Linked DNA regions of Lepisosteus oculatus. The protein of the gene in region 4 purifies or fractionates together with the protein of the main gene of each other region. This does not show direct contact. Links are inferred from orthologs where the notes say so. Each region holds a gene or a part of one and is shown on either strand. Other genes may lie near its edges.

Region 1 (7,679 bases), on a different chromosome or scaffold from region 4:
CTTTCAGAGAACATCCTAGAGATGTTAGAGCGACATCCTGCCTCTACAGACTTGTCACCCAACAGTCCAGCTTGAAGTGTACACACGCCTCTTCCTTCCATCTCTTTCTGCATTATTCCTGAGCTGCCGTTTCAGTCACCGGACCTCTCCAGCTGGCTCTGTACAGCTCGGGTCGAGGCTCGGGGACCCGCCATGGTGACTGCACCGCTCTGTTCCTGAACCAGCTCCTCCCACTGCTCGCCTCACGGCCGACCACAGCCCGAGCTGCCGCGCGGACGGCCACCTGCTCTTACGTGTAGTTCCTCCGCTGCAGCTGCCAGGCCATGGGGGCCGACACCTCGGTGGCGTAGACCTCCTGGAAGTGGGGGCTCATGACCTCGGTGACCCCACCGTCCCCCGCCCCCAGGTCCAGCAGCCTGCGGGCCCTCCACTCCGGGGGGATCCGGAGGAGGCTGCGGAACTGCTCGGCGGAGAACACAAACATGGAGCCGCGGCCCAGGAACCTGGCCAGCGAGAGAGAGCGAGAGAGAGCGAGAGAGAGCGAGAGAGAGCGAGAGAGAGCGAGAGAGACGAGCTGAACCTCTGTCGTCTTGACCAGAGAAGACTGCAAGGGGACCTGATGCCTCAACAAAGCTGTGTGCTGATTGTGTTGTATGAAAATGCCCTGCGATGCGTTCGTGTCGTAAAAAGGTCTGTGCCGATCGTGTCCGGTCTGGCGACACTGTCATTCATCGGTCGTGCCAATAAAGCTGGTTGGATTGAACTGAAACGGAGCGGGAGGCACTTCTTCACCCCAGGGGAGGTGGAGGGGGGGGAGGGGTGGTGTAACGAGCCACACGGCTCAAGCTGGCGAGATCGTGGGTCCTCTGGGAGGGCTAGAGGGGCTCCTCTCGTCTAGAGGCCTTTCTCACGTCCTTAACGGCGAGGAGACAGCGAGCCGGGCAGGGTGGGCATGGCCGGGGTAGAGGGGGCGTGCAGACATGATCCTACACACGGCAGCTTCACAACACTGGAACCCTCAGCCCAGCACAGACACCGCGCCTGGCCAGGAGGGCGACAGGGAGATGGGGGGCGGGGGAGACAGAAGCCCGGCTGGCAGGAGGGCAGACGTACCCGTTGATGGAGGTGCGGGAGAGGAAGGGGCTGAAGAGGGTGGACATGAAGGAGTGGTAGAGCTGCATCAGGAGCCAGCTGGACTTCTCCTCGCTGCGGCTCAGGAAGGCGCGCGTGTCCTCATCCAGGCGGCTCTGAACGAAGGCGGGCCGGAGGGGCTCGCCCAGCAGCTCCGGGCAGCACCGGTACCACTGCGGAGACACCCGGGCCCAGACATCACCAACACGGCGCTGGCTCTCACAGGGCCCGCTCTCGTGCCGGGCACGACACCCCAGAACCCGGCCTGCGGGCCTCGGAGAGCAACAGCTCGGGTCACTGCGTCTGCCTCGCTTCCCAGCACCAGTGCAGCTGGCGCCGTGGAAACACGTCAAGCACGAAACCCTGCGAGTTTTAACACTTGCAAGATTCGAAATTACCGCCGGTGTGCCTTATTTGGCACCTGGCATGACCCTTGTGAACAGGTCCTGTGGCCTGATGAAGCCTCCTGCAGAGCCTGAAAAATCACAGCTTTTCAGAAGTCCCCAGGGGTGACACAGGCACAGGCCTCACAGCCAGGCTTCAGTCTCATTACTGCCCGTAACGCAAGGCTTGTCTTTTGCGTTTGGAGGAGAGGTGTAAACATTCAACCACACTTGGTGGTTGTGCCTCCCTCAGCCTGCTCATTCGAACACTTTCTTCCAATAAATGCATAATAATGAATATATAATGAATCACTGCAACTCCTACATTCCCAATCCCTCTCAAACCTGCTCAAGGGGGCGATTTAAAAATCTGCCAACAACACTGGTTGAAGCCCAACGCCGCCCTACTGGCATCTACTGTTAAAATAAAGCTAAAAAAAAAAATAGGAGTAAAATGAAACTTTACAAGGAAACGCCCAGGGTGTGGATAAACTAAGGAAAACAAAAGTACAACAACATGCACAACTTCACGCAAAGCTTAATTTGCTTAAATTAGCAAACAACTCTCTGCCCCCGTCCCCAGCCCCACATGTAGCCCACTGTCACCCCGGTACCTCCTGAGAGCCGTGCGGTCCCGTTTCGCTGGCCATGTTGACCAGCAGCGCCCTGGCCAGTGGACTCCTCAGGTATCTCCCGGTCCACATTTCCCGTATAACCAGCAGCGAGACGAAGTAAAAGAGCACCCAGACCGCAAACAGCAGCCGCCTCATCTGCAGACAGAAAGCAGACCGAGACTCAAAAACTAGAGTCCTCGACTCCTGCCAGACCTTCCGAGCAAGCAAAGCGTACCGACCTGTACATGCTGTTGGCTTTGAAAGGTGACATGTTGTTACTGGACCCTCCACTTCAACCGTAAACTAACTTGCTCGAATAAACCTTCTTTCAACAAGTAAGCCGGTGAATCTGTTCCACGTTTACTTCCTGTGTCACACTTAATTGCGTCCCCACCCTTTAAAGTTTCAAGTCTTATGCACTCACTGCATGAGCATTAAACGTTTTGCACGCATTTTCAGCGATTTTGTTTTTGCAGAACAGCATTTAAAGAATAAACAAGTTTAGTCTCAGCTGGCATTTTAATTACTACCACTTAGGTATGTTCATGTTATAACTGGAGATTTAATTTCACTTGACAAAAACTTCGACTTGAATAGATTGCGTTCCTACATCTTTACAATATTAATAAAGACCTAAATAATTCAGTTCCCATTAAATCACATGTAATTAAATCACGTTTCCACGAATCCTAGAACCGAAAGCGTCATTTCAGATCGAGTTTTTTTATAGAATTTTATTTTTAAATCTTTCAAACATTCATGAATACAATTAAAATACAAAACCATGAAACACTTACGGCTAAAAAACAGTAAATAAATGCTTTTTATTGTCCATTTCATGAGTTATACTTCTATCATTTCTGCAGGAGTATTGGTTTGATTGCAGAATGACCTTTGTACAGCAGCCCCAACAACAAACTGTATTTAACATAGACTTTCACCGACAGAGGTAGTAAGAGGAACATCCGGCTTCGGGTTAGTACAGGTATATACCGGTCACGTTTATCTTGTTTTATTTCAAGCCGTATTACACTGAAAATCTCAACCCCGAATTAAGATTACGGCTTTAAAAATATGAAGCACAGTGTGGGCAGGAGAATACAGTACAATGCAATGATCGCTCTGCAATGACTACAATGAGCCCCCCTGTGGTGTTGCAGAACACCTTGTTTTTCTCTGCGATAAACCTACACCTTGAAACTCCTCATTGCACACACTACACACGCAGAGCAGGCTGGGCCTCCAAAACTCCACCCGAGTTTGTCTCGTCAGGATCTTACATTTTGGTGGTCATCTTATGTCACCAACGTCTGTGTGTTTTTTTTTAATTAAATATTTTCTGCAGCACCCACTGCAGGTTAGCTCCCAAAATCCCAAGGCAATTATATAGCGAGCGACACAAAATTAAACATTTCCTGCAGAATTCATAATGAATATAGGTATATGTCTTCTGCATGTATTCACAGCTCACAGAATGAACACTAGAATTCATGTTATTGTCCTTACTTGGTACAAAGGAATGGAAGGTCATCATAAAATCTAATCAAATTCTTAAAAGTTTACCCCTATTTTCTGCAATTATACTGCAAATAAAATGAATATTTATCTATTATTTGTAATACAATAACCCTGTAATGATGCAGTGCTGTGTGAATTTGTCAGGCAATGCGATGTTCTGTATTCAAAGCAGCTCTTTTTCCCCTTTTTAAACAGGTTCTTCAATGGCATCTCTCACTGCTCCATTCTTGGTTTTGAGTCGTTTCCTTTCCCAGAGGTTGCTTTCACGGCACCGGACTGCTTGGCTGTTTCTCCTGGCTGGTGTTTTTCTCAGGGATCGCATGGCTCCCTGCTCTTCACACACTGCTGAGCGCTGATCCGCTGCCCCTGGCCTCGCTCGACACACTGGTCTCACTGTTCGTTCGCTCGAGACGACTCTGTAACCTGGGGCCCGGCCACGACTGCGCGGCCCCCCCCCCAGCAGGGACGGAAAAGGCACAGTGCAGGTGCAGCCACAGCCCTCAAAACTACTGGAGGACAGGCTGCTTGTGACCGCGCAGTCAAGAGCTGTGTGGAGAAGCACTTGACTCTTCCACGGGCTTCTTGTGCTTTAGTGCCACACAGCCCACAGAGTTCATGGGGACACGATGGGACCAGACACCAGCATTCAGAATCCTCAAGGGCATCGACAAAGCATTCCCCAGCAGTCACCAAGCAGAGCAGGCAAGTGGAAGCTGTGCAAACTAGTTTAAAACAGAGAACAGGAGCCACCTCTTTACCCAAAAGGTGGTGGGAGTCTGGAACAGGCCAGCCAGCTGTGCTGTTGAGGCCGGTACCCTGGCACCTCTCAAGAAGTGGGTAGACATGATCCTCCAATTAGAACAGGCATCACTTCTTTACTCAAAGGGTTGTAGGAGTGTGGTGCCAGCCACCCCAGCCATCTTGTTGAAGGCAGTACCCTGACTTCTTCCAAGAAACAGCTGGAAGAGATCTTCAGATCAGTTAGCTACTATCAAAAGGGCTAGATGGACCCAACAGCCTCTAGGCTTCTGTAACTTTTTGTACATTCTTATGGTATGCTACACACTGCATTACTTTCATTGGAGGAGCCCAATCCATCAACGTCGAGCTTCTGCTGATCAGAAATCCCAGATATGCCACCTTAGCAAAACCATTTTCACCAGTTTTTTTTAATATGGCAGTCCAGGGGGAGACGGCTCCCGCCTGTCCTATTACACACCCGTGAGAAAAGAGGAAACGGCGTGTACAGGGACACCAGTTCGAAGCTGGATGTCGTCCATTGACCTCATGTGATTGCACACGCCTCCTCCTTCCTTCGTCAAAGGCTGTGGCTCCCTAAGTCTCAAGGTATTTAGCGTCCAGCGTGTGGCTCTCTCTGATGGAGAATGGAGTCCAGGCTGCGATCTGCAAGGCGGCAACGAACATCGGCACCAGGCAGACCAGGTAGAACATGGCGCCGTGGAGAGCCTGCAGAGAACTGGGATGAGACAGAACAGAGGGGTGTGAAACAGCACGCCAACGATCCAGGGTTTTCAAGTGAGGCGGCCTGTTCACTCCCAACAACTGGAGCTGAACACGTACTGCTCACTGGGCCTTATTGGTCATTCCAGCGGGGTCAGGTTTTTCGCAGCATGAAAAGTACCACGCGGGACACATGAGACATGTCCGTCGGCACACTTTCTAATGAAACAATCAGCACTTCAAACATTCCAGATATCTACAGAAACAAAAGTGACACAGGAAAGAAGATCCAAATCTAGAACGGTTGTGCACGGGGATCAAGGAGTTTCCCCGCCCACAGGGCTGCAGTAATCTACTTCAGAATCGTCGACACGCGTAACAACTCTTTACGGTTCTACAAAAGTTTCAGAAATAAAAGCACAGGGCAAGCACCTCAAGGGGACTTAAGCACAGCCGCAGAGGGGTCCACTGCTAATGTCTGTTTGTAGCAGGAGGGATTTCTAATCTATTCCAACGGGGCTGCCCGCATAATATCCTGTCTGGCAGTCTGTAACTTACTGGGATTCTCAAAAACAATATCTCTATCTTCTAAACTGTCTGTTTGTATAAATATAATTGAGGGTGACATAGAATACACCAATGAACATGTAAATTACTTTGCTTTACAAACTTCACTAAATGGGACAGGTGGGTCTTACACCTCACATTCTTATGTTCAAAAACCTTTATAGAACAGTGAAGTAAGCAGTCCTGGTCTTTGTGCATTGCTTCTGACTGGATTTAGAAGAATGATTTAGTCCGTGGGGAACAGAATAGACATTTGACATTATTATTTGCCATTAACTGGCTCAGTTAAGTAATTAAGTTGGGAAAGAAATAAAAACCCGAAATGAACCCCAAAGATTTCCCTAGTGCGGAACCACTGTGAGAAATATAGCAGTACACATTTCTGGCCACGAGAGGGAGCACGTAAGCAATTCCGAACGCGGGACGCTCTCCAGACTGCATTGTGTTCTTAAATGTCTCGGGCAGCACGCCATCATGTCTTAAGAGTCGTGAGCTGGCAAGGAATTATTCCCTTATAAAGTGCTGCGGTGCAATAATTAACAGGCAAGACAGATTGTCACTTTCACCTTTGCTGAACGCGTCATGCCGGCAATTCTACTGCTGTGTTTCGAGCCTGCTCAGCTCTCTCAGCGCAGTGGCGTGGATCTTATTTTAAATGAACACGCAGTCTTCTATAAATCTGCCTGCCAGTTTCTTGTTCATGTGCACTTGGGAAAAGAATAATTCCCTTTCGACTTGCCATGAAAAAAGCAATGCATTGGAAAAGAGGCATTAAGATTCGGGAAGGACTGGGGCATGTGTGGATTCAGACAGTGCCTGGCTGAGAGAGAGCAGGCAGAATCCTGTTTTGGTGGGAGCTGTCACACTGCCACACATCTCAGAGCTCCCTGCTGCCGAGACAGATGGGGGGCGGCTGTCCTGGCTCCCTCCGACAGAAAATGTCTTCTGCAACATCCTCTCGTGGAGCTTTCAAATTCTGTGCGCATCTGCGGGCTTTATTTTGAATTCGGTATAACCCTGACTCCGTCAAATTAAGCTCAGATGGCGTCTTAAGGAGAGGCACTGCACAATCCCACTGCCTGTCTGCCTCTGGAAAAAAAAGGCCACTCGCATGGCGTAAGATTTCATATCCGCAGTGAAAATGCACCAGTCACACGCTGCCCAGACAAAGCCCCAGCACGCCAAGCTCCAGAGACCCGCCATTCCCCCAGCGCTGCTTAGAACACTGAAGGAAAATGAAGATATACAAAAGAGACGAGAGGCTGCGTTTACTGAAAGAAGAATCAAGACACTGGATTCTTACTTTCGAATATAACCTCCCTGCTGCAGACCGCCACCAACTTCTATATTTTTTCAGTTCTGCTTCTTTATTTAAGGGGAGCAGGAGGTGAGGACGTGTCCTTGAGTGGCCTGCAGGAAAGGCAGCGTCACGTGTGCACCATCAACGGAAGGATTGCGCAAAGTCACCGAGCCCGAGCTCTGGCTGGCACTCCACACAGGACACTGGCTTCTCTTCAGGACAATCGCTCCCCCAGTTACATAACAACTACAGCCTTTATAAAACAGCTGATTAACGCGCTGTCCAAAGGCTGCTGGCCATAAAAAGATAGGGACTGCTCGTTGCTCCAGAAGGTCCAAATCACACGGGCTCAAAGGTCTCTGGGAGGCTGCAGCTGTTGTACAGTACCTGGGGTCCACAGCCGCGCCCGCCTCCTTCAGCTCCTTGTAGCCAAACTGGTTGAGAATGGTGACCACCACCATGGGCGCCAGGGACTGGGCAGGCTTGGTGAAGAAAGCGTTGGTACCAAACACCATGGAGGACAGCGGAGAGCTGGGCCCGGCAGAGACAGAACCAACACGTGTCACACACGGAGAGATCCAGCTCCTACTGGCCCCGGCAGTAGTGAGGAATTAGTGAGACAATGTGCAACACTATCAAGCATCCCAATAATGTAAAACTGTACATCCTGTTATTTCCTATATCTGTTATAAATCTACAACCTAT
Region 2 (7,094 bases), on a different chromosome or scaffold from region 4:
AACATGATATCAGTGATGTATTTTATCAGTAATTGTTCTTTCTGTGGGGAACAGGAATTTATAGTTTGAAAAAATGAAATGTCCTGGCTGTATATTTTGACCTGAATTTGTAATTAAATTTTAAAAAATTATATGAATCACACAAAATGTTTTTTACAGCTTTAATTCATAATTTGTTTTATCTATCAAGGGGTGAAGTGTTCTCTATAAATGTATCTACATCTTGTCTCTGTATACCACAAAAGTAGGAAAAACAGCAAAACAGAACTAAACTACAACCCTGACTGATAAGACAGATCTCAGACAAGATCAAGACTTGATTAACACTCACTTGTAAGTAAGAATTACATTATATGAAACAAAGGGCACCTTGGTGAAGATTGGAGGATTTGGATGACTTGAAGACAGGGTGGAGTTTTTATATTTAGCAAAGTATTATTTTAGCTTTAAAGCTTTAAAGAAACTCCAAGTATGATAGAAATTTCTTCCAAAGAGGGAAGTTCTAAAAATACAAAGTTTATGAACCTGAAATCATAATTATTTTTAAATGTTTCTGAGGGTGTCTGAAAATACCAGTGCAATACTGCATAAAATACAAGAAGAAAAAAAGAAAACAATACACAGAGTGTATGTTTTTCATTCAAATACAGCAACGCTTAAATATACTGTATACTGTAGATATAACACTGATAAAATATTTTACAAAGTTCAAAGCAGAAAGAACATACAGTGTATAAGGAAATATAGTGTGAAAGGAAAAAAAGCCATTCTATGCAATAATACAGGGTATTTTATCAATCCATGCTTTCTAGGGTAGCATCATACATTTTCAATGCACTGATCAAGTATATCTTGATCTGGTATATCTGAAAATCTAAAAATATTTAATTTGTTGCAATACTATTATGTATTCAAATCATAGTTCTGTTTCACCTTAACCTACAGTAGGTTTCATGATTATGGTATTGCCTGATTACAGTATGTACTGTACAGTATATGCATGTGATTACATTTCAGGCAATCGCATTAACGGGCTCAACAATGAATTTGCAGGATGGTTAAAGAATGCCAGACCTGACACCAGTGGAACAAGAAAGGGATATATGGATACTGGATACAAACCATTCACACACAAGGTTTAAAGATGTTTACACTGCCTGCACATGATTACTTAAAGAGTTACCAACTGACAGTCACCAATACAGACTATTCCTGTCCTTCTTCTCTTCGAATACCTTGAATAGACATAAGGACATACAGTGCCTTGCGAAAGTATTCGGCCCCCTTGAACTTTTCAACCTTTTGCCACATTTCAGGCTTCAAACATAAAGATATAAATTTTTTATTTTATGTGAAGAATCACCAACAAGTGGGACACAATTGTGAAGTGGAACGAAATCTATTGGATTTTTGAAACTTTTTTAACTAATAAAAAAATGAAAAGTGGGGCGTGCAAAATTATTCGGCCCCCTTGCGTTAATACTTTGTAGAGCCACCTTTTGCTGCGATTACAGCTGCAAGTCGCTTGGGGTATGTCTCTATCAGTTTTGCACATCGAGAGACTGAAATTCTTGCCCATTCTTCATTGCAAAACAGCTCGAGCTCAGTGAGGTTGGATGGAGAGCGTTTGTGAACAGCAGTTTTCAGCTCTTTCCACAGATTCTCGATTGGATTCAGGTCTGGACTTTGACTTGGCCATTCAAACACCTGGATACGTTTATTTGTGAACCATTCCTTTGTAGATTTTGCTGTATGTTTGGGATCATTGTCTTGTTGGAAGATAAATCTCCGTCCCAGTTTCAGGTCTTTTGCAGACTCCAACAGGTTTTCATCCAGAATGGTCCTGTATTTGGCTGCATCCATCTTCCCCTCAATTTTAACCATCTTCCCTGTCCCTGCTGAAGAAAAGCAGGCCCAAACCATGATGCTGCCACCACCATGTTTGATAGTGGGGATGGTGTGTTGAGGGTGATGAGCTGTGTTGCTTTTACGCCAAACATATCGTTTTGCATTGTGGCCAAAAAGTTCGATTTTGGTTTCATCTGACCAGAGCACCTTCTTCCACATGTTTGGGGTGTCTCCCAGGTGGCTTGTGGCAAACTTTAGACGAGACTTTTTATGGATATCTTTGAGAAATGGCTTTCTTCTTGCCACTCTTCCATAAAGGCCAGATTTGTGCAGTGTAAGACTGATTGTTGTCCTATGGACAGACTCTCCCACCTCAGCTGTAGTTCTCTGCAGTTCATCCAGAGTGATCATGGGCCTCTTGGCTGCATCTCTGATCAGTCTTCTCCTTGTCTGAGCTGAAAGTTTAGAGGGACGGCCAGGTCTTGGTAGATTTGCAGTGGTCTGATACTCCTTCCATTTCAAGATGATCGCTTGCACAGTGCTCCTTGGGATGTTTGAAGCTTGGGAAATCTTTTTGTATCCAAATCCGGCTTTAAACTTCTCCACAACAGTATTACGGACCTGCCTGGTGTGTTCCTTGGTCTTCATGATGCTCTCTACGCTTTCAACAGAACCTTGAGACTATCACAGAGCAGGTGCATTTATACAGAGACTTGATTACACACAGGTGGATTCTATTTATCACCATCAGTCATTTAGGACAACATTGGATCATTCAGAGATCCTCGCTGAACTTCTGGAGTGAGTTTGCTGCACTGAAAGTAAAGGGGCCGAATAATTTTGCACGCCCCTCTTTTCATTTTTTTATTAGTTAAAAAAGTTTCAAAAATCCAATAGATTTCGTTCCACTTCACAATTGTGTCCCACTTGTTGGTGATTCTTCACATAAAATAAAAAATTTATATCTTTATGTTTGAAGCCTGAAATGTGGCAAAAGATTGAAAAGTTCAAGGGGGCCGAATACTTTCGCAAGGCACTGTATGAAAGGTTACTGGGAGGCTATCCAATGCATTTACCCTACGTGGTAGTTACTGAGTAAAATAATCCAAGGATCTCATTCTGTAGTTTCTTGTAAGAAACCACGGTATCAGCTTCAACAACGAGGCTTGTTCCATACTCCCACAACCCATTATTCCAACATAGATTATCATTCATTTTCCTCTTTCCAAGTATGTCATTCCTTTTCTATAAGACATGTGGCTGAAAACAGTTTCAGTATGTTCCCACAATGACAGAACATATAGTTTAGATATGATTAAATGTTTAAATAAAAAGAATAACATAAAGAAAATCCCAGATATACACATTACGTATACGTAGGTGGTATACAAAGTGGCATCACTCACCATTCGCCAAAGTAGTGCCAATAAGAGCAGTTGTCTCTAAACTGTCCCTGTGCTTTTTCCTTTGTGTGCCCTGTGATGGACTGGTGTCCCTTCCAGGATGCAGGCCTGCTTTGCACTCTGTGCTACAGTATCAGGCCTCTGTGTACCTCAACCCTTGCCAGGAATAAGTAGCCCTCTGAACATACACTAGATGGACCTGGCAGGCCTCATCCTACTAGGATGTCACACAATCCTGACATGGAATCTGATTAAAACAAACCTGCAGTTTTTTTTTTCTGTACTGTCTGGGAACCACAAAATGATGATTAAGACATTTAATTTTGTGTAATAATACCGTTTTTTATTTTTCACAGTTTTACTGCACTGCATGAATAAGAACACTACCAGTAGACACGAACTAATACAATTGTACTACAAGTAATTATATTTCAATATTGTGCATTTCATTTACAGTTCATGAAATAAATGGACATAATGGCATTGTATATATTATGACGAGGTTTCATTCATGGTTTATATAACAAAAACGTGAAATTTGTGACACAATAACCAATTCGTTCTTGTGTTAGTATTCATCTGTGTGTCCTAGCTTATTTTTTGTCTTAAATGAAAGATGGGTCGTTCTCAATTGAAGCGTTATATTGCTTTTCCTCGTTTGCTAAAATAAAAATAAACCAATATGTGATTTCCATGCTGCGGAAATTTTCAGGTAAACAGTTATATATGTATTGCTATATTTGTGTAACAGTCAGCCAGAAAAGAAACTAAGCGACGTTGTATCGAATACGTTGTTCCTTTAAGAGCTTCTCTGACTCATTTCCAGATACAGACAGGAAGTACTTAGCCTGTATTTCTAGTGTATGCTGTTTGCAGAGACGCTATTTTCACAGTATTCGGCTTCAGTATCAGATTTTATGAAGACTTTAATTTTACTGTCATCAGCACTGGCTGCAAAATATTTCTGCTTAGCGACCAGTTCTTGATTTTGGGTAAGTAGTGAGTGGTGTATCGCCATTTTCTGATGCGTTTTTTAGCTAATGCCTCTGTCGAGATTAAAGACAGAAAAACGTTTTTACTGGGAGGATCAGCAGTCAGCGGTGCTTGGGAGGATTAGTTCACATTCACTTCTATAAAGTCTTGAGTCACGATAAAAGGTTGTACGTTATAGAGTAACGGCAGATGCCTGTACTTAATATGTTAGTACGGGCATAAGGGGAAGTAATGTTTCGTTGTTTTTTACTTTTAATTCCGCTGAAATATTTCATGTCCGAAACGACACTAATATTCCTATGGTCCTATTTAGTGAAATAGATACTTTATTACAGCAGTTAATTAAATGACTACGTATATAAATAAATAGCTATCTGACTTTCTTGTAGAAAACTTGTTTTTTAAAACATTAAGTGGAAGTAAAAAACAAACACCATTGCAAACTTTGGAATGGTATTGTTGACCACGTCAGAATAGTGTCAAGGTGCGTGGTTCAGGAAAGGGATTAGTTAGCCACTGGTACCGCATCCTCTGACCACACAAACTAAACAGTTTTTGAATAAGTTAAAGTGAATCTCTGGAAAGCAAGTAGGATCAACTCTAATAATGCACACCACGAAATTGTTTATCTAAGTTTCAAGCACCGATAGCTTGGATCTCTTGTAGAGTGTCTAGTGATTGTTACGATTTTAACTTGCTATTTGTAATGTACAATTATGTAGTGCATAGAATTGAAATAATAAGAGAAACCAGTAGAGGAACTAACAGTTGAATTCTATGGTTCTCCGGAGAAAGGGTAGAGTGGACATTTTAATTTAATTTTAATGATCAGCCCTGTTAAATCAAAATACATGTTTTACTTTTGTTTTTCTCTTCTTGTTCGATAAATTCTTTTATCCCGAGAGCAGAGCCCGCATCCTCCCACCCTGTCCTTTTACTTTAAAATGAAAGTGTTAAATCTGGAGGTGGCGATTGAAAATTGCTGAAACCACCAGCAAGATACCTGTGGGTAGAAGAACCAACTAGTTAGGGAATAAAGTAATGTTTTTTTATGCTGTATTTATAGTGACTTAGTCTAAAAAGAAAGTCACATACAGTATATTATTAATGATGGTTTTTAAACATACAGTTGATTCATTTATACGAATGCTATTTAGTAAGAATTAAAAAAAATGTTTTGTCTGCATTGCTATGATGACACTGTCTAAATAACACCAAAACATATATCAAAAACTGGGTTTCTAGTAGATGAAGAAAATTGAAAGAACCATTTTATGAACTTTGGAGTATACTGTAGCAGTGCTATACTCTTATAATATACTAACAGGCTCTTATTCACCAAAGAGACTTGAGGCTGTTGCAGTTTGTCCCAGTTGTCAAAGTTAATGGGCATGAATCTGCTAAACTCAGATTGGTGTTCTTTCCAGAGTTCTGAAGGTAGACTATACAACTGCTCATTGCATTTATTTGTAGATTTTTTTTTTTTTGGGGGGGGGAGATCCTGATCTAAGCTCTAGGAACATGATAGATGCATTACTAATTTGCTGTTCAACTAAACAAAAAAGCATCTTGCTGATATATGCAGGTTCCAACACTGTAATCTGAACATTTGCAATGTGTATTTCAGTTTCCAGTGATGTTTCCAGCAAATGTGCACTCCATCTTGGATTTAACAAAGACTGGAAATTCCAAAACATGTCAATATTGTACTCCAAGGATTAGTTTCCAGAGATACATTTTGTAAATTATGTATCGGGTAAGAAAAAAAGCTCTGTTAAAAAACTTTAAGTACTCTTTTCTCTTGGCTCCCATTGTCTCAGTAGTACAATATGCATGGCAGAGAATTCCCTCAGTTACCAAAGGATGTCTCAGAATAACAATGCCCTTCATTGAACTTGACGTATCTGCATATTGAGAAGTCCTTCCAAAGAACTACTTAACACCATTCTTCAGACACAGCACAGGATATACACTCACATGTAGAAAATTGCATTTAAATATAACAGGCTCAGACCATAGTGGTATCAGTCAAGTGAAGGTGGGGTCCATTACAGGGATGAAATTAGATTTTTATCAAGGTAGCAAACGTATCTGGTTTATAATAGAAGAAGGATTCTCCACCATGAAGTCTTAATGAGTCTGCAAGCCTTTTTTTTTACAAATCGTTTTACCAAGGTATGTCCATTAAGAATAAATATTAATTTACAATGTCAACCTGAAACATATCAGTGTATTTGTTGGAGCAATTAGTGAATGAGGAATCTTCCTCAGCAGCAATCCACCAGAGATCCTCCAATCTGGAGCCCTGACTACTACTCCTCAGTGCTGCCCACTCAGTCCCAACAACAACATCCTGGGATGAACTGGCTGATTGACCATGTACAGAGAGTTTGCATGTCTAAGTTCTCATGTCTGTGAATCTCTATTACAAGAAATATCTTCCTCAATCTCGGGTGTGTCTGTTTGTGGCATAGCCACCCCCATTCTGCCACTTTTTTTTTCTGTAAGGTACACATCTGATTTTTGTTGTAAGAATGTCTTCAATTTGTTTTCTATACTGTCACAGCTGGAAGAGTTGTTGAGTGGGGCTGTGGGTTTTCACAGTAACGAGGTATAATAACAATGGTGACATTCTTTTCAAGTATGCATGTTTATATAGTATATTTAAATGCCTAGAGGTCTGTGGGTGAAATGAATATGTTTCAAGATCATTAAACAATTTACAAAAGAGAAATAATTGGACCTAAACCTGGCCTTTTCTAGTTAATTGTTACTGGCATGAAGAAACAAGTCATACAACATAGATGTACTACTACACAATGAATTATCTGCCCTTGTTAACACCTGGAC
Region 3 (7,356 bases), on a different chromosome or scaffold from region 4:
GCCAAGGTGCATTTCATACTGGCACCTTTGTGATATAATGTACTGGCAATGGTCTAGCAAAGCCTGTGCTCTGTGCTGGGACTTCGTAACAAGTGGAAAGGCAGACCTGGAAGAGAGTTTTGAAAGACGGATGCACTTTGGGATTAGGCACAAAGGGCAAGGCGTAGAAGGGCAGGAACTCGGTGGTCTGGCTCAGCGCTGCTCCTCTTGTCTCCAGGTAATGCCTGAAGTGTGTTATCCTCTCCTCAAAATCCGTTCTGTCCTGCTCATGGAACAATACGTTCTTCCAGTTTATTACACCGCTGAAAGCTAGCAGACTGCTGCCAAAGCTTGAAAGTAGACCTCGGTGACACAACACGGATTTCTGTGCATGCGACTGCACTGATAAAGCCTTATCAACGATACCCCATCCTTTTACAGGAATTCAAGGACTATTACACAAAAAAACAAAGCAGATCCCAAACTTACTCTTAAACTAGGTTATCAGCTTCCCTCATCTCTCAATGACTGTCTCATTCCTTTCTTAACCTCTCCATTCAGACCCTTTTTATCACCTTCCACTATCATTCTCACTTTCTCTTTTGTCCTCCTTACTCACTCATATTGCTTTTCTCTTCCTCGTTCTCCCACACACCTGAGCTCGACAGACACAACACTGTGCCTGTTCTTCTTTCTTTCGGCTTTTCGGTGTGCAATTAACCTCTACTTACACCTTAAGGATTAGGAGTATTCTAGACAATGACATCAAAATGAAAGAATGTAAATCACCCTCCTGGCTATATTAAAACAACAATGCGATGAAATAGCAAATAAGATAATATATATTTTTTAATTCTTTATGTATAAAGTAGTGTGGTGGTACCTGGACACATTACAAGTACTAACAATGTAGAACAATTAAAAATGTATTTTTTTACTAATATTTGAACCAGGCAATAGAGACATCTGGTGGATAAAGTAAGAACTTAGTCCCCTAACAATTACAAATTCTAATCTGCATGTCTCGGAAGATCCAAATCTGGACAGCACAAATACTGTTGGGTGCTGGAATCACTCCTTATAAAACTCTACAATGAAATAATAGCCAGATTTTTGTTAAATTTTCGTTAACAAATTGGACCAAGTCGTCCTATTACAACTATGATGTGCTAAATTAAGGAAAACCTACCTATCCCACTCAAACAGAACAACAGCATAGAAAAATTCTGATCCCATCATTTGCACTGGTGTAAGACCTCGATTGTTTGAAAGGGAGACTTGTGATGTATTTCAATGTTGCTTACAGGTGTTCCTAGGACGTGTTTCAGTGGGAAGATCGCGAAGTGGATGTGCAGATAAAACTCAAGTTTCTGGGCGAGAAGGTCAACGTCTCGAATCTGCGCAGGGATGTGTTCATTCCACAGCTCAAAGAACACTTTCAGATCTCCATCCTCAAACGAGCTGATCATCTCCTTCTGCAGAACAGGGCAAAAGTACCTATATTTAAAACGCAGTCCCATATGTAAAAAAACATCTTTTCCTTTTGGAGCCATAGACTGCACTGGTAAAATATTATATTTATCTGATGGAATGATAGATTTACCTGACACTCTTTTTAAGAGTATTGGTCAAGGAGAGTCCAGATCTGCAATTCTCCTTCTCTATGTGAAAATGTGAATGTGGACTTTACAGTATTTAAACTAATTTGAGGTTTTACGCTTCAATTTGTCATCTGGTGTCACTGTTCCAATTCTGTACAAAATGCTACTAACAAAATAAATACAACTCCAGACACATACCTGAATAATTAATGTTTTGGAGTCTCTCAAGACATTCCCCGTGGTTTTTGGAAGAGGCTTTCCTTTCGTCTTGCATTCTTTCTCAAAAAGTTTCACAGTTTCATCAAATTCGGCAAACCTTAAATACTAGGCAAAGACAATAAAACGTACTTGCTAATAATGAAGATATGGCCTTTGGACAGCACATTTCAAAATGAATAAATATAACCAAATCTTTCTTACATCTAAGCTATGAAACACCTGTGTCCTACAAAGCCAAGTTCCAGCAGCTATATCACCCTGCAACTCACAACTGGCAACCCACTGAAGCTCAGCAGGTGTGAGCCTGGTCAGTACCTGGATGGGAGACCTTCTGGGAAAACTAAGGTTGCTGCTGGAAGAGGTATTAGTGTGGCCAGCAGGGGGCGCTCACCCTGCAGTCCATGTGGGTCCTAATGACAGAGACACTATACTGTAAAAAGGCGCCGTCCTTCGGATGAGACGTAAAACCGAGGTCCTGACTCTCTGTGGTCATTAAAAATCCCAGGGCGTTTCTCAAAAAGAGTAGGGGTGTAACCCTGGCATCCTGGCCAAATTTTCCATTGGCCCTTACCAATCATGGCCTCCTAACAATCCCCCTCTATGAATTGGCTTCATTACTCTGCTCTCCTCCCCACTGATAGCTGGTGTGTGGTGAGCGTTCTGCCGCACTATGGCTGCCGTCACATCATCCAGGTGGGGCTGCACACTGGTGGTGGTGGAGGGTAGTCACCATTACCTGTAAAGCGCTTTGAGTGGAGTGTCCAGAAAAGCGCTATATAAGTGTATATTATTATTATTACTATTACAAGAATATAAGCGTTGCCTAGCACTTCAAAATGCTTTTGATAATCAGTCATTTATGAAAAAACAATTGGATTATATCTTGACAGATGATTTTATTATCTATTTTACCATTACTGTTGTTCTTCCTGCTCAGAGAAATATTTTCCATATTCAGCAAAACCTTCCACCAAAGCCAATTCTTAGGCAGACTCCCAAAACATACTGCCAGAAAGCACATTCAAGCACATTCAAGGGGAATGGACAGCAGTGCTGCCCATTCTCATTCTGACTTTGGGGTCTGACACTATCAGTTTCCCATGACATCTCCTTTAGTATTCAATGGGTTAGTGCCATATGAGCCAAACGGTAAAAAAGCAGCATAAAATGTCATTCCATAAAACACTTCTGAGAAAAAAACAGCACTTAAGCACACTTTGAAAACGACATACCTCCTTCACCATTCCAAGAAGCTCGCCTTCGTAAACCAAAATATCTCCCATTTTCCAATATAATCTGTGTTCATTTGCAAACTGAATCCGACAAATCTGCTGCACACTTCTCTCTAAACAACAGCAGGAGGAATGACAGTATTCAGATCATTACTGTGTTGTAATAACTCAGCATTTGTAACACATCATTAAGCCTACCGACACCAAATCCCAAACGTGAGTACTTCAAAAAGGTAAAAACGTTAGGATGCATGTTTCAGCAGGAGAGTGGAATTTAATTTGATGAAAATGTTATATAAAATCTAGATGTTCCTTTTCCATTAAAGAATACGGCAGCTTTGTACACTGGCAAACCCCTGCAAAGTCTATACATTGCAATAATTCAATCTGGGGATCAGCAGACTGTAGCCGCTTATTACGTTTAATTAACAACGTAATACTCTTCACACGAGCCTGCTCAGCAAGCAAATCGCATTCCACATTATTTCTTATCCAAAAAGGAATCAGTTATGTTGAAAGAGAGGAAATCTAAAGATGACATTTTCTTTGCACGAAATGTTCAGAGGAGGCCTCTTTGGAAACAATACTTAACAACATTGTTGTTCACACGATCTTACCTTGCTTTTTTTACATTGTAACCGTTTTCGCTTCTTATAGTCTCCCGATATCAATGAAAGGACAATTCAGTCAGTGAATTCAACGCGTTAACATTCATTTCAGGCTTGACGCAAACGGATACATATCTTGCTTATAAAGGATAGCAACAATCGATGCACGAGACGCTTCCAGAGAACACCTGGCAACCAACAGCAGCCACGGCACGCACGAGCGTAAGAGCCATAGATATAAAAGCGATATAGAGGGGTCCATCCTGTGTAAACGACTCTGGGTTGAGTGTGAAATGGCGGCCATATTGGTAGGGTTTACAATCCAGATCCCGTAAGGCAATCACACAGAGAGTATTCGGAATAATACGTGAAAACACGGGTTAGGAAAAACCCCCCACTAAAGTTTAGTAAAGCTGTTAATTTGACTATGATTTAATCGTGGGTGTAGATGAAAGATTTACATAAAAATTCTTTATGCGTTTATTGTGGAAGGCAGAGCACTCAACAACCGTCATAACGGGAAACATACTGCAAATATTTGTACACTTTTACACAGTCTAAAAAACCTTCTAGTGCGTTGTAAGTCATTAGCAAAAGAGTTAAATGCATTCTTATCCATAAAAAAAGTTTTAAAACTTGCGTCCACGGGATGCCGCAATAAAAGGGTTAATCCTGGACGCGGCCAGGCGAATTCTGGGAGGTGTAGGAAGTGATTTCTTAGGGAAAGGTAGTTTTCATGCATTTTCAACATGGCTGAAAGCATGAAGGTAATGTAGTGGGCTTTTTTCCCTCCCAAAAACTGTAGGTTATTGATAAGCGCTGTCGAAAGTACAGAATATAAACTCGCATGTTGCGCATAGAGGTGTATTACGAGTTAATACTTCAAATGAATGTAAGTTATTTGCGGTGCGTTTTTATGTCTGTGATTGATAACTGTGATGCTGAATTGCCTATCGGTCTCGGTATTCGCTCGTGGTCGCTCTGATTTTATGTCAGCCCTCCGGTTTATTTATCTGTTGTGTCATCCGTACAGTCCGGAACCTCTAAAAACAGTTACTCGAGTTATTTTCGCAGGTTTCATTTTCCCCCACGATGAATGTGATGGAGGCGAATCACCACTGTGAGCTATTTACTCCCTGCCTGGCTTTCTAGGGGGATTTTAAGGTCTGTTTCTTAAAGCCTAGTTTAAGAGGGGAAATACTTTAATATTCGCAGTGGTTTGGAGAAAACGCGTGACGATGCCAAAAGAAGGAGTCAGTCCCTTAGCAGTTCAGCCTTGCAGAGAATTAAAATACTGAGTGTCTGATCGGAGCCCTGTCCGTCTTGAGTCATCGTCGAGGGTAAGCTTTAAAACTGAGATGAGCACGGCTCTTCCCTTGAGCTAAGAAAAGCCACACACGAGTGCAGAGGAAACCACACTCCCCCCAGCTGTGGCAGTGCGGGGCTTAAACAGGATGTTTGGTCTTCTCTGGCAGGGCCATGGGCATCCTGAGGTCCAGCCCAAACACCATGGCTAGGGCCAGCGCCTTCCGATCCTACCAGCTGCTGCTGCTGCTAGCAGCGGCGCTCGCCGTCGTGGCTTTTTACTACTTCGGAGCGGAGCGTCAGAGCTTCTCCAGCACGACCAGGCGCCTCAAGGAGACCCAGGCGAGCCTCAACGCCAACAGGAACGATGCGGACTTGTCCTCGGACACCGGGGCCGGGCACCCCGACCTGTACTACCACGCGCTGATGATGTTCACTAAAGTGGACCGAAACCGGGGGCTGCAGGAGAAGTTCCGGGTCGCCCTGAGGTCCATGGCCGCGCACGGCGGCTTCGCGGACGGGGAGGTGTTGGTCCTCCACTTTGTGAGCGACGCGCCGAGCAGAGAGCTGGGTGAGAGGATGCTTCCAGAGCTGCTTCGGGATGCCACCTTCCGGTATGAGGTAGGTCGGGAGAGGCTGTTTGTCTGTTGGCTTGGTTTCACAGTTTCGTGCGGGTAAGTGTCATGTCTGCTGGGAACACCTCAGCTGAGAAGTAGGGTTTGTATCTTGCATCTGTTGCTCTCTGGTCTGCCAGTGCAGGCGAAGGGTTTCACTTGACGACCATGCATTTTCTAACCCCAAGACTGTCCCGGGAGTCAGCGGGCGCAAGGCAGGATACACCCTGGATGAGGATGCAGGTCTGTCACAGGGACACACACACACATCAGAGCCCAATTTCCCCAAAGCCAGTTAAGCTACTGGGATATCCTTGGCTTGTGGGAGGGAACCCCATGCAAACGCAGGGAGAAGATACAACCTCAATGCAGACAGCACCCCAGGAATTAACCCAGGCCCCTGGTGCTGTGAGACAGCAGTGCAAGCCACTGCACCAGCATGCCGCCTGCATCTGTACACCTACGTACTGTGTACTAGCTGAAACATGGAGATCATGGCATAGTTTGTGTCGATATTAATATTAAGATTGCTTAAAATATTAAATCAGTATTAAGATTCCCAACAGCTTAGGTGAATGGTGAGATTGGTCGAGTGAAGTGGATTAGTTTTTGTCAAATTCAATTTGATGAGATATGTTTCTTATATTTCCTGGTGAGTGCCGTATACATAATGTAATGTTAACATTTGTTTCTCAAAACATGCTTTAAAATGCAACTTGTCCCTCTGTAGATGCCTGTGTCTACAGCACGGAGCCAAAGAGGTCTTGGAGAAATCTTATCTTTCAAAGTTAGTGTTATTTCCCACAAATACTGGTGTTTGTTTAGTGTTGGTTATTCACCAGGTGGCAGCACAGACTCAATAAAATGTAATTTGACATAATATAAAGCAATCGCAGAAATGGCTTTATGGTGCGGTGTGGGAGAACTCAAGCATGACTGATTGGAAAGTTTGTCAAATGCTGTAATTTGTATTTGTTCTTTGATGATGTTTTATTTCAGAATCGTAAGAAAATGGAAATTTCATTTTTATGTTCCAGTTGATCAGTATTGGATAACAGAACCTAAAATATCAGAAATATTTTATGAATTTCTATAGGTGGATTAATGTATTTCCCTTTGGTGTCAAATGATATTGGGTTTGAATGGATTTGTAAAGTGCAAAATTGACACAACATACATACTGTATGCCAAACACTGATGTAGCCCTACACTCTTTAATATCGGGGTAAAGAGTTGGTGCTTTATTCATTTTCTTCTTAGTGTTTTTAAACATCAGTAGTATTTTCATGGCTTAATCCAGCCTCTGAGATGGCTGGTAATTTGTGCTCACAATTTGCTTTCTTGCAACTGGAAGAAAATTGGCAGCAATTTGGAAAGATCATTTGATGTGAGGTATTTACAGGTATATATACATGAGAATGTTTGAGAAACCTTTGTAACTTTTCATTTTTGTGGGTGGGCTTGTGCCTGGAAAGATGGGGGGTGGGGTGGGAATAAAAAGCTATGGGGGAAAAAAAAGAAAACGCAAAGTGATAGCTTTGTGCTGCATATGTGCTGCATATGAAAGAATGAAGGCCAGATAGCATTATGCAAAAAAAAAGATTTCTCTAAGGGTCGAAGAAGCCAGTGCTGGTCAAAAGTCAAAAGGAGTCAAGGAAGAGGTTTTATGAAAATCAGTGTGACTCCTGAGGTGAAATCACACTGACACTGTACATCACCAGTGAGGTAAAGGGATGAGGCAAGTTGTTTTGCAGACCAGCTTTTGCTAGGTGTAACATTAACATTTAATGTGAGAATG
Region 4 (7,744 bases):
TAAAGGTAATAAGGCTAATTCAAAAAGCCAACTCTTATTTTCTTAACATAGCTATAGCAGGCTCAAGAGCAGAAACATTGCGTTTCTTGGTTCTACTTCGCAATGAGGAATTAACTTTTGCTTGTGTCTTTAACCAAGTAGACGTGTTCATTTTTTTTCTATTTGTTCTTCATATTTGACATAGGAAGCTGTTGTACTTGTTCATGTATTGGCATATTTTCTTATTTATGCTAGTGATTTCTAAACTAAGAATTTTCCATTCTAAAGGAGTAAACAGTTTCTTTGTCATGTACAACCCTGAAGCAATTAAAAATGGGGAATCTCAAAGTTTGGGATAAAAGTTATGATGCCTATTTCCGAAGCTAAATCTCATTTCCTGTTTAAATGTAATGGTAAAGGTCACTTTAGCAACTCTGCCTTTCAGGCCTGGGGTGGGTAAACAATAACTAAAAAAAAATAATTGTTTTTAGGACCCATTGTATTCCTTAAAAAGGAAATAAACCATTTTTGTAGACTTAATCCTGTTGTTGCACTGTTTATGGTTTTATTATTATTTAAAACTGTATTTATTCGCTTTATGCTGATCCCCGTTTGTAAGCTCATGTTTGTATGGTAGGTTTTCAAGTATAGAAGCAGTAGCCATGCTATAACTGACCTGTCACATGATAAGCACATGATTGCCAGCTATAAGGCAAAGATGCAGGTCAGAAAAAAAAAAGCTTCAGTCAGCAGGCTAAAAAGGCAACTCACACTCATTCACAGGGGTCCAGGACACCATAAAACAACCTGATGAACACCTAATACGCTTGAAAGGAACAGTGGAACCAACCCTGAGAATCAGGCACAAATGCCAACATCCTGTCCTCAAGAAGAAAGTTTCACTTTTACAGAATAAGATGTGGAGTAACAGATGTACTTCTCACACCATGTGACAGTCAGTCACCACTACCACTGTGCAATAAGGCTGTGACCACATCATTCCATGTTGGGGAACACAATCAGAGGTTCAATAGTCCACATTTTCATATTTCTCAGACACTGCACAGTTAGAGGCGAAGGGTCCAGTTTTTTCACCGTTCTCTGAAAATAAACTGTTTAAACATGAGATGCTGTCCAGCTCATGACTTTTCATTTAATGGGAAAGGCAGAAAAAAGAATACAGGACCTGCCTGTCTTGATGTGAGCTGTGAATTGGAGTGCTGGCAGCTTATGAAGAATCTGCACATGTGTGAGACTCAAAGGAGGACCTGACTAAGTCCACTAAGGACGTACTGGTTGACAAATCACGAGATACCCACCCTGCTACCTGGGGACAAGCACTGGCCCATATATAGCATTGTGTTCCCTTTTTGCTGTTCCACATGAGAAAAGACAGCAGCAGAACGTATTGTATTAAACTGATTTACCAACTCGTAAAAGAATGGCTCCTATACATCTGCCAGTGCTGAGACACTATACATTTTAATTGCAGGCCCATACCAATGGTAATTTTGTGGTTCACATTGCGGTTACGGTAGAAGGTGAAGCGTTGCCCAAACTCATTGTGTATTAAACCAACAGCCCTGACGAAAGCGGGATTTTAAACATTTGTTTCCTTACTGTATGCAGCTTCGATGCCAAAGTCTGACAGTTGTCTTCAATTTGTCAGATATTGTTTTAAAAATCTTACTTTCAATTAAAAGTAGACCAAGTCAGCAACCAAGTTTACGAGCAATGACAACACAAAGGCAGAAGCGAATCGAAAGAGGAGAATAAATCGTAACAGCTTGGAAGAAATTAAAAACATACCGTGCTTGTCTGGCCTGTCTGTGTTGACTCCGTTAGGGCTGCCGCAGTTTCCTACCAGATTATTAGTCTCTTCCCCAGACGATCCGCTCCCGGATGGTCTGTCGGATTTGCACATTTTGTTCCTTTTGTTTTTCTTACTCCCGTGCGAGTGTCCTCCGTGGGAGTGGCCGTGCCCGCCGCCCCCTGCGTGTCCGTGGAACATGCAGAGCCCCAGCAGGTTCACCAGGAGCCCCGCTGCCCCGACCCCGATCACCACCAGCGGGCTCTCGATCTCACGCGGCTCGGTGAACCGCTCGATGGCTTCCAGTATGATGGTGAAGCACAGCGCGGTCAGAAACACGGCGTTCACCAGGGCGCCCATCACCTCCGCCCGGATCCACCCGAAGGTGTTCTTGCTGGTCGCCTGCGTTTTTTCCGCAAAGCGAACGGCCACCAAAGCCACGACCAGGGCGATGACATCCGACAGCATGTGGAAGGAGTCCGAGAGCATCGCCAGGGACGAGGTTATCCGGCTGACCACCACCTCCACGATGAAGAAGCCGAAAGTCAGGGACAGCATGCAGAGCAGCCGTGCCCGGTTGGGTTCACAAGCCATTTTCCCTTCTGAGAAGTCTCCTCCAGCTAAATGTTTCAGTGATGAATTACTATGTGGTTATAAAAATACTATTTCGTTGTTTCACAAAAACCGAAATCACGCTAACATCTTCACGGAAAGCTACTTGTACGAATCACTGGAAAAAAGGGGCTGGTATTTTGAAATCACGGGATTCGCGCAAATGCCACCGGTAACACACGGAGAGTGGCAGTATGACTATAAAGAGGAGAAAATATTTCTCCCGTCAGAAATCAGGTCTATATCGTTATTACCGTGTTCCTGGAGATCTGTACATCAGAAGGCATTCAACATATTCAGGGATGGCAAATGAAGCTCCAAAGGAGAGAAAAAAGCACAGGCTTGTCATTCAAAGACGTCTTGTAAATCCTCCTTTTAAAAACATATATAATGGAAAGCTATGTTTAAGGGTTGTTAACGGAGTACTTCTTTAAAAAGATCTGGTGCTCAAACAAAGAACCAAACAAAAGCGAAAAGAATTACCCGGTGAGTACAAAACACAGCTCGGCACGACGATAGCTCTCTGGTGGTTTGCAGACGGTTTGAAACTTTGCACCCGAAACCGGCAAAGTTTTCACACGGAACAAGGGGAGCCAGGCGGCCACGCCCCGCCTCTCCGCCATTGGCGGAGGAAGCGCAGTGTGGCGGCGGAGGCTCTCCGCTTGGGCACAGGGGCTGTCAGTTTGGAGATCATGTGCCCCGCCGGGCCTTGTATAGTCGCCGGCGGGGGGCAGTTGACCGACGCCAGGCCTATAGCAACTAGGCCGGCTCCGCTCTCCCTGCACTGCGGCGGGGGATTGGAGACCTCGGCCTTCAGTCGTGTTGTAACCCGAGCGGACTGCACTGGAGATCCGCCTCTGAGTCAAATCGTGACGCTTTCTTCACACCGCACCTGGTTTGTAACCGCACGACACTATAAGTACTGATTCAAGACAAGTCATGCTGATATTGCAGAAAAATAAAAAATCAGAAAATAACCATAATAATACCCAAAGGGGTGTAGAAGATGCCTCCTTTCATTGTTGAAATTGCATACAACAAAAGCTTAGTTAAGGAGTCCTGCACCTTGGATAGTCCCTTTTAATAGAAGAAAACGGAGAAATATTTTCGTGTGCAAAACACTTGCATAAAACCCGACGACCTTTTCACTTTTGAATTATAAAGTTTCAGCTGCAGTCAATCCAATTAAGTGTGCACGTTAAGATCATATCTAGTAGGGTCAGTTTAGGTAGATGAATATGAAATAATCTAAGCCTTAACTATTAAAAAGACATGAAGATTGACGTTTCCAACAAAATCTGATGCTTAATATTTGATCTCCCCGTGCTTGTGGAAATGAACGTGGACAAGGAGTTTCTTTTTCCTAACAGACCGGTCCGCTTTCTCGACGCAGTATGAAAACTACATAAAACACTAGAACATCACGTTAATATTACACTTAACCAGTACATAATGTTGTCCCAACTGCAACGATTTAAACGTTCTGACAAGTGTGAACAGATGGTAAGGAATTTGGGGAGAGATATTAATTATCATTTGTAATCATGTGGACGTGTGGATTATTATGCTATTTCATACAAGGCATTTTTGGAACATCTAAGCAACTAAGATAACATTACATTTAAGCACAGCCTATGAAAAATAAGGTATTCTTTACTTCTAAAGAAACAGCTATTGGGAATGGAGCAGGTGTGTAGAATAAACCACAAAATCATGTGTAATAACCAATAAGATTATATGCAGGTTATGAATTGCCCTCACTTAGCCTAAACGGCTTAGCTGTTAAAGCCCTCCTGTATGCTTGTCATTTGTCATACGCAAAAACTATAATTTAACTGGATCTGTTTAACTTTCAAGCGTATATTCCCCTAGGAAATCCACAACGATCCCTTCAATTTTCATAATCACAGTGTCCATGAAAGTAGTTCTTGTCTCACAAACAGAAATGATCTGTTGTTTGTCTGCCCACTTCTGAAGAGCAGGTAAACTGATCCATATCATGTAGATAGTATGGGGTTCTGGTAATTAGCAGGCCTTAAAATTTGTGAAAGGATGATAGATTCATCATTTGTTCTAAAAATTTTACAAAGCTTCAGAATAACCACAGCTTAGAAATGGTAACATTGTGATTACTGCTTCTTCATTGCACTGCTTATGAAGCAAAATAAGTAGTAGCTTTTTGTAAAACTACCCTTTGAAAGCTTCAAAAGCTGTTTTTAAAATATATATTCATATATTATATAATGCTCTAACATTTAGACATTCAGAGTCTGAGTACTATTTGTCTTCTGTCAGGCCCAGAAAGTAAGCTTAGTACAAAATAAAAATCAATTGCACTGTTGAAGTCTGAAGGTTGTTACATAGTTGAATATAAATAAGTCCTACAACATTATTTGCTACAAACTATTTTCAAAGGAAAAGTGAATGCAACAGCAGGTATGTTTCACAACAGCTTGAGTGGATCACTACAGTTCTGCTTTTATCAGTCAAGGGAGAGCAAATGAAATTATGTGCTGTTGCACACAAAAAACATGTCCTGATAGAATTAAAAAATGAAATCCTTACTTTGAGTCTTGCTTGACTGTATAATAGGCTGCTAAAAATCTTAAATATAAATTGCTTCCTAATGCCAAATACACTGCTACCCCAAATCAGATATCAGAAAAAAACCCATCTTGTTCAACCTAATGCACCTCATGAAAGTAGAAAAAGTTTAGTACCAAGCTTCCTTTGGAAGAGCAGTTTGAGTCTGTTGAGATGGGGTACAGAGGATTTGCAAGCTAATCCCTTTGTAGAGCCTAAAGTCTTTTGGTCATAACAGGGGTGAGCAAGAGGAAGGTTATCAAAACCACCACAGAGGCTGGGTGAGGGTGTCTGATGTTGAAAGACCTAAAACACCCAGTGACCCCAGATCACACTCCTCTGATGGGGTGTCCAGGTACATCAGAGGATGTATTTTCAAGCCTTTGTGTACTGGCCAGGTGTACTTCAACATTTCTTTAAATCCGTCTTTTTTTTTTCCTTTGGTGGGCACAACTGGGATAAATAAAGGGGGACTGAAATTTTGCCATCATAATTTTCATTAATGGGTGCTCGAAAAGCTTTCATGTCCAGAAACACACAGGAATACAAAACAATCTACATTTCTTAATACCTTTACTGAACTGCTACTTTATCATGAAAATGTAGATACACACAGTATTTTCTGCTAAAAATAAAAAAAGACTATAATGTTTCAGTACAGTATATATAAACCTATAAATAAATCCAATTTAAAATGTACTTTTAAAATAAAAGATGTGTTTCAAGATGCAAAGTTGCACTAGCCTACTTAATTCCTATTAAAAAACCTTGTTGATCAACATGAAAAACAATAGAAACATAAGTTCCTAAGTACATAACTTAGGAGGCACAAAGTAGGGCATTTTGTGTGCTCCTTAAGGACTGGAAATCCAGCCTAGTGTGATAGACAGCCAGTAACATGCCATTCACAAACAGACAGCCTAGCATTCAACACTGGTGAGACACACTGACTATATACCAGCTGCGAGAATGAATCATAGGCATTCAAATACTTAGTAATTAAACTGCTATTTACAGACCAAGAACTGTATCAAATGCTTTGACAAACCTCTTCGCTTCTTTCCTTTTCAGTATTCTATACCTCATAAGTCTCACATTGTCGTATGTTGCAATTGTTTTCTGTACACATGTAACTTGCTGTTATTTATGCATCTTGTAGGATAGATTTATCAGATTTTGTTAGTTGTGTTCAGACACAAACAGCTGTTAGGCTTTGATAAATACAGTACTTTGTGTTAAGTGTAATACTTTGTTCCAAAGTTACATGTGAAGATGTACAGCTAATACGGACGAGCAGAGCACATTAGCCTCCACTCTTGTGACTAAAATTCTGTTTTTCTACCACTTAGGTACATTACCGTGCATCGTGCTTTAGCTCTGTCCCATTTCAAGAAACAAGCACTTATGACAAAATTATTGCTGCAAGCCTCTCCACTATGTAGAACACTTATGGGCAAGTCACAAGTAAAAAGACCTTAAACCTGACTGAATACATTTTCTTTCATTCCCATCAGCAAAGCAGTGAATTTTTTTTCTCCACATTTCTCTCTTCTAGAGCATTTTAAATGCACAGAAAATACCCCACACTAGTGAATGCAGTCATCTTGAAGAAATAGGCCATTCATCACTATAGCAGTACTTGTATTTACAATATCTTTATTACAAACATAGGGAAACACCTTATTTCTCTAGAATATGAAGAGGGTAAGTAACTTGTGTAAAATATTAAAAGTTCATACATATCTTTAATTCTCCTCGAGAGTGAAACAGCCTGTTTCATGAGCTGCATTCACAGCACCATCTGATCTTCAGTCTTCAAAACGAAGGAAGTTTGATTGCCCTTAGCAATTTAACCGCAGATAAATGCACATTTCTTTTAAAATCCACCTCCCCTAGATGTATCTGAAGCCTTACAAGTGCCACACATTCTTAAACAAGAATATAGCATTTTCTACTTTCAGAGCACCTGAACAGCCTCTACCCAGTGGCCTGTACCTACTTCCTATAATCTCTCCGACACATTTCTTTCCTAAATATCCAGGGAAACAAATGAAGCTGCACTTCATTTTTATTGTCAGAGTATCTTTAACTCTGACTCTACAGTTCAAACCATAAGAAAGAATTTCAGACAGATAATTCCTCCAGATATTGCATGGGTATTTGGAGACCCCTTGTGGGACCCAGCTGTTAAGTCAAGTGGCATAACACAACATTTTAGAAACATTTATTTAAAACTCAAGTGTTTTTTAAAAATGACGGCAAAATGTATACATATACCCTCCTTTGTGCAAAATTAAAACTAATGTATTACTTTGAAATACTTCAGTACAGACTAGGCTCCATCCAACATTTTCACAGTTCCAGATAACCTGAGAATTGACTTCATCCACATCTTAGTAATATACAGTCACTCACGTACAAAAGCAAGAAACTACAGTGAAAAATCCATTGATTCCCCCCTGAGAATGCAGCTGCCAGACATGGATATGTGGTAAAATAAGAGTAACAAAAGTCTACCAACATGTATGAAAGGAGAGAACAATTACAGACATTTCAAATAACTACTCTGTCATACTATTTTGTTTAATGCACCCCAATGTCAAAAAAATTAAATTAGGTGTAGATTTAAAAACTAAGACATCATTTTTGGAAAGTATGTTATGGAAAAGAAGACCTGTTTTACAACAATCCCTCCAGACAAGGGGTGCAGAAATGCTTTACCTTTGCCTTTCACTGAGTCTCAAAACTATGTAATAAAAA

The links.
Region 1: the proteins of slc30a1a (region 4) and mettl9 purify together in Homo sapiens (co-immunoprecipitation; 3 studies listed by BioGRID and IntAct, with this or other methods). This does not show direct contact. The link is inferred for Lepisosteus oculatus from reciprocal best matches to the Homo sapiens genes SLC30A1 and METTL9.
Region 2: the proteins of slc30a1a (region 4) and csgalnact2 purify together in Homo sapiens (co-immunoprecipitation; 3 studies listed by BioGRID and IntAct, counting the BioPlex papers as one, with this or other methods). This does not show direct contact. The link is inferred for Lepisosteus oculatus from reciprocal best matches to the Homo sapiens genes SLC30A1 and CSGALNACT2.
Region 3: the proteins of slc30a1a (region 4) and xxylt1 purify together in Homo sapiens (co-immunoprecipitation; 3 studies listed by BioGRID and IntAct, with this or other methods). This does not show direct contact. The link is inferred for Lepisosteus oculatus from reciprocal best matches to the Homo sapiens genes SLC30A1 and XXYLT1.

The regions. Positions count from the first base shown.
Region 1 is NC_090714.1:16,657,345-16,665,023, reverse strand, and holds the start of mettl9 (protein-L-histidine N-pros-methyltransferase), read right to left. Parts: upstream 3,017-7,679; 5' UTR 2,926-3,016; intron 2,517-2,925; exon of another isoform or gene 2,368-2,516; intron 2,285-2,367; coding exon 2,129-2,284; intron 1,305-2,128; coding exon 1,114-1,304; intron 770-1,113; exon of another isoform or gene 504-769; coding exon 294-503; exon of another isoform or gene 1-293. Other genes in the region: mfsd13al (transmembrane protein 180-like), read right to left, coding at 4,982-5,123, 7,362-7,505. UniProt on the Homo sapiens protein: Protein-histidine N-methyltransferase that specifically catalyzes 1-methylhistidine (pros-methylhistidine) methylation of target proteins.
Region 2 is NC_090699.1:33,889,610-33,896,703, reverse strand, and holds the start of csgalnact2 (chondroitin sulfate N-acetylgalactosaminyltransferase 2), read left to right. Parts: upstream 1-4,089; 5' UTR 4,090-4,243; intron 4,244-5,871; 5' UTR 5,872-6,000; intron 6,001-7,094. UniProt on the Homo sapiens protein: Transfers 1,4-N-acetylgalactosamine (GalNAc) from UDP-GalNAc to the non-reducing end of glucuronic acid (GlcUA). Required for addition of the first GalNAc to the core tetrasaccharide linker and for elongation of chondroitin chains.
Region 3 is NC_090708.1:8,922,774-8,930,129, forward strand, and holds the start of xxylt1 (xyloside xylosyltransferase 1), read left to right. Parts: upstream 1-4,342; 5' UTR 4,343-4,406; intron 4,407-4,840; exon of another isoform or gene 4,841-4,979; intron 4,980-5,114; 5' UTR 5,115-5,118; coding exon 5,119-5,565; intron 5,566-7,356. Other genes in the region: lisH domain-containing protein ARMC9, read right to left, coding at 107-262, 1,284-1,454, 1,779-1,904, 3,032-3,082. UniProt on the Homo sapiens protein: Alpha-1,3-xylosyltransferase, which elongates the O-linked xylose-glucose disaccharide attached to EGF-like repeats in the extracellular domain of target proteins by catalyzing the addition of the second xylose.
Region 4 is NC_090697.1:46,251,664-46,259,407, reverse strand, and holds the start of slc30a1a (zinc transporter 1a), read right to left. Parts: upstream 3,001-7,744; 5' UTR 2,384-3,000; coding exon 1,789-2,383; intron 1-1,788. UniProt on the Homo sapiens protein: Zinc ion:proton antiporter that could function at the plasma membrane mediating zinc efflux from cells against its electrochemical gradient protecting them from intracellular zinc accumulation and toxicity.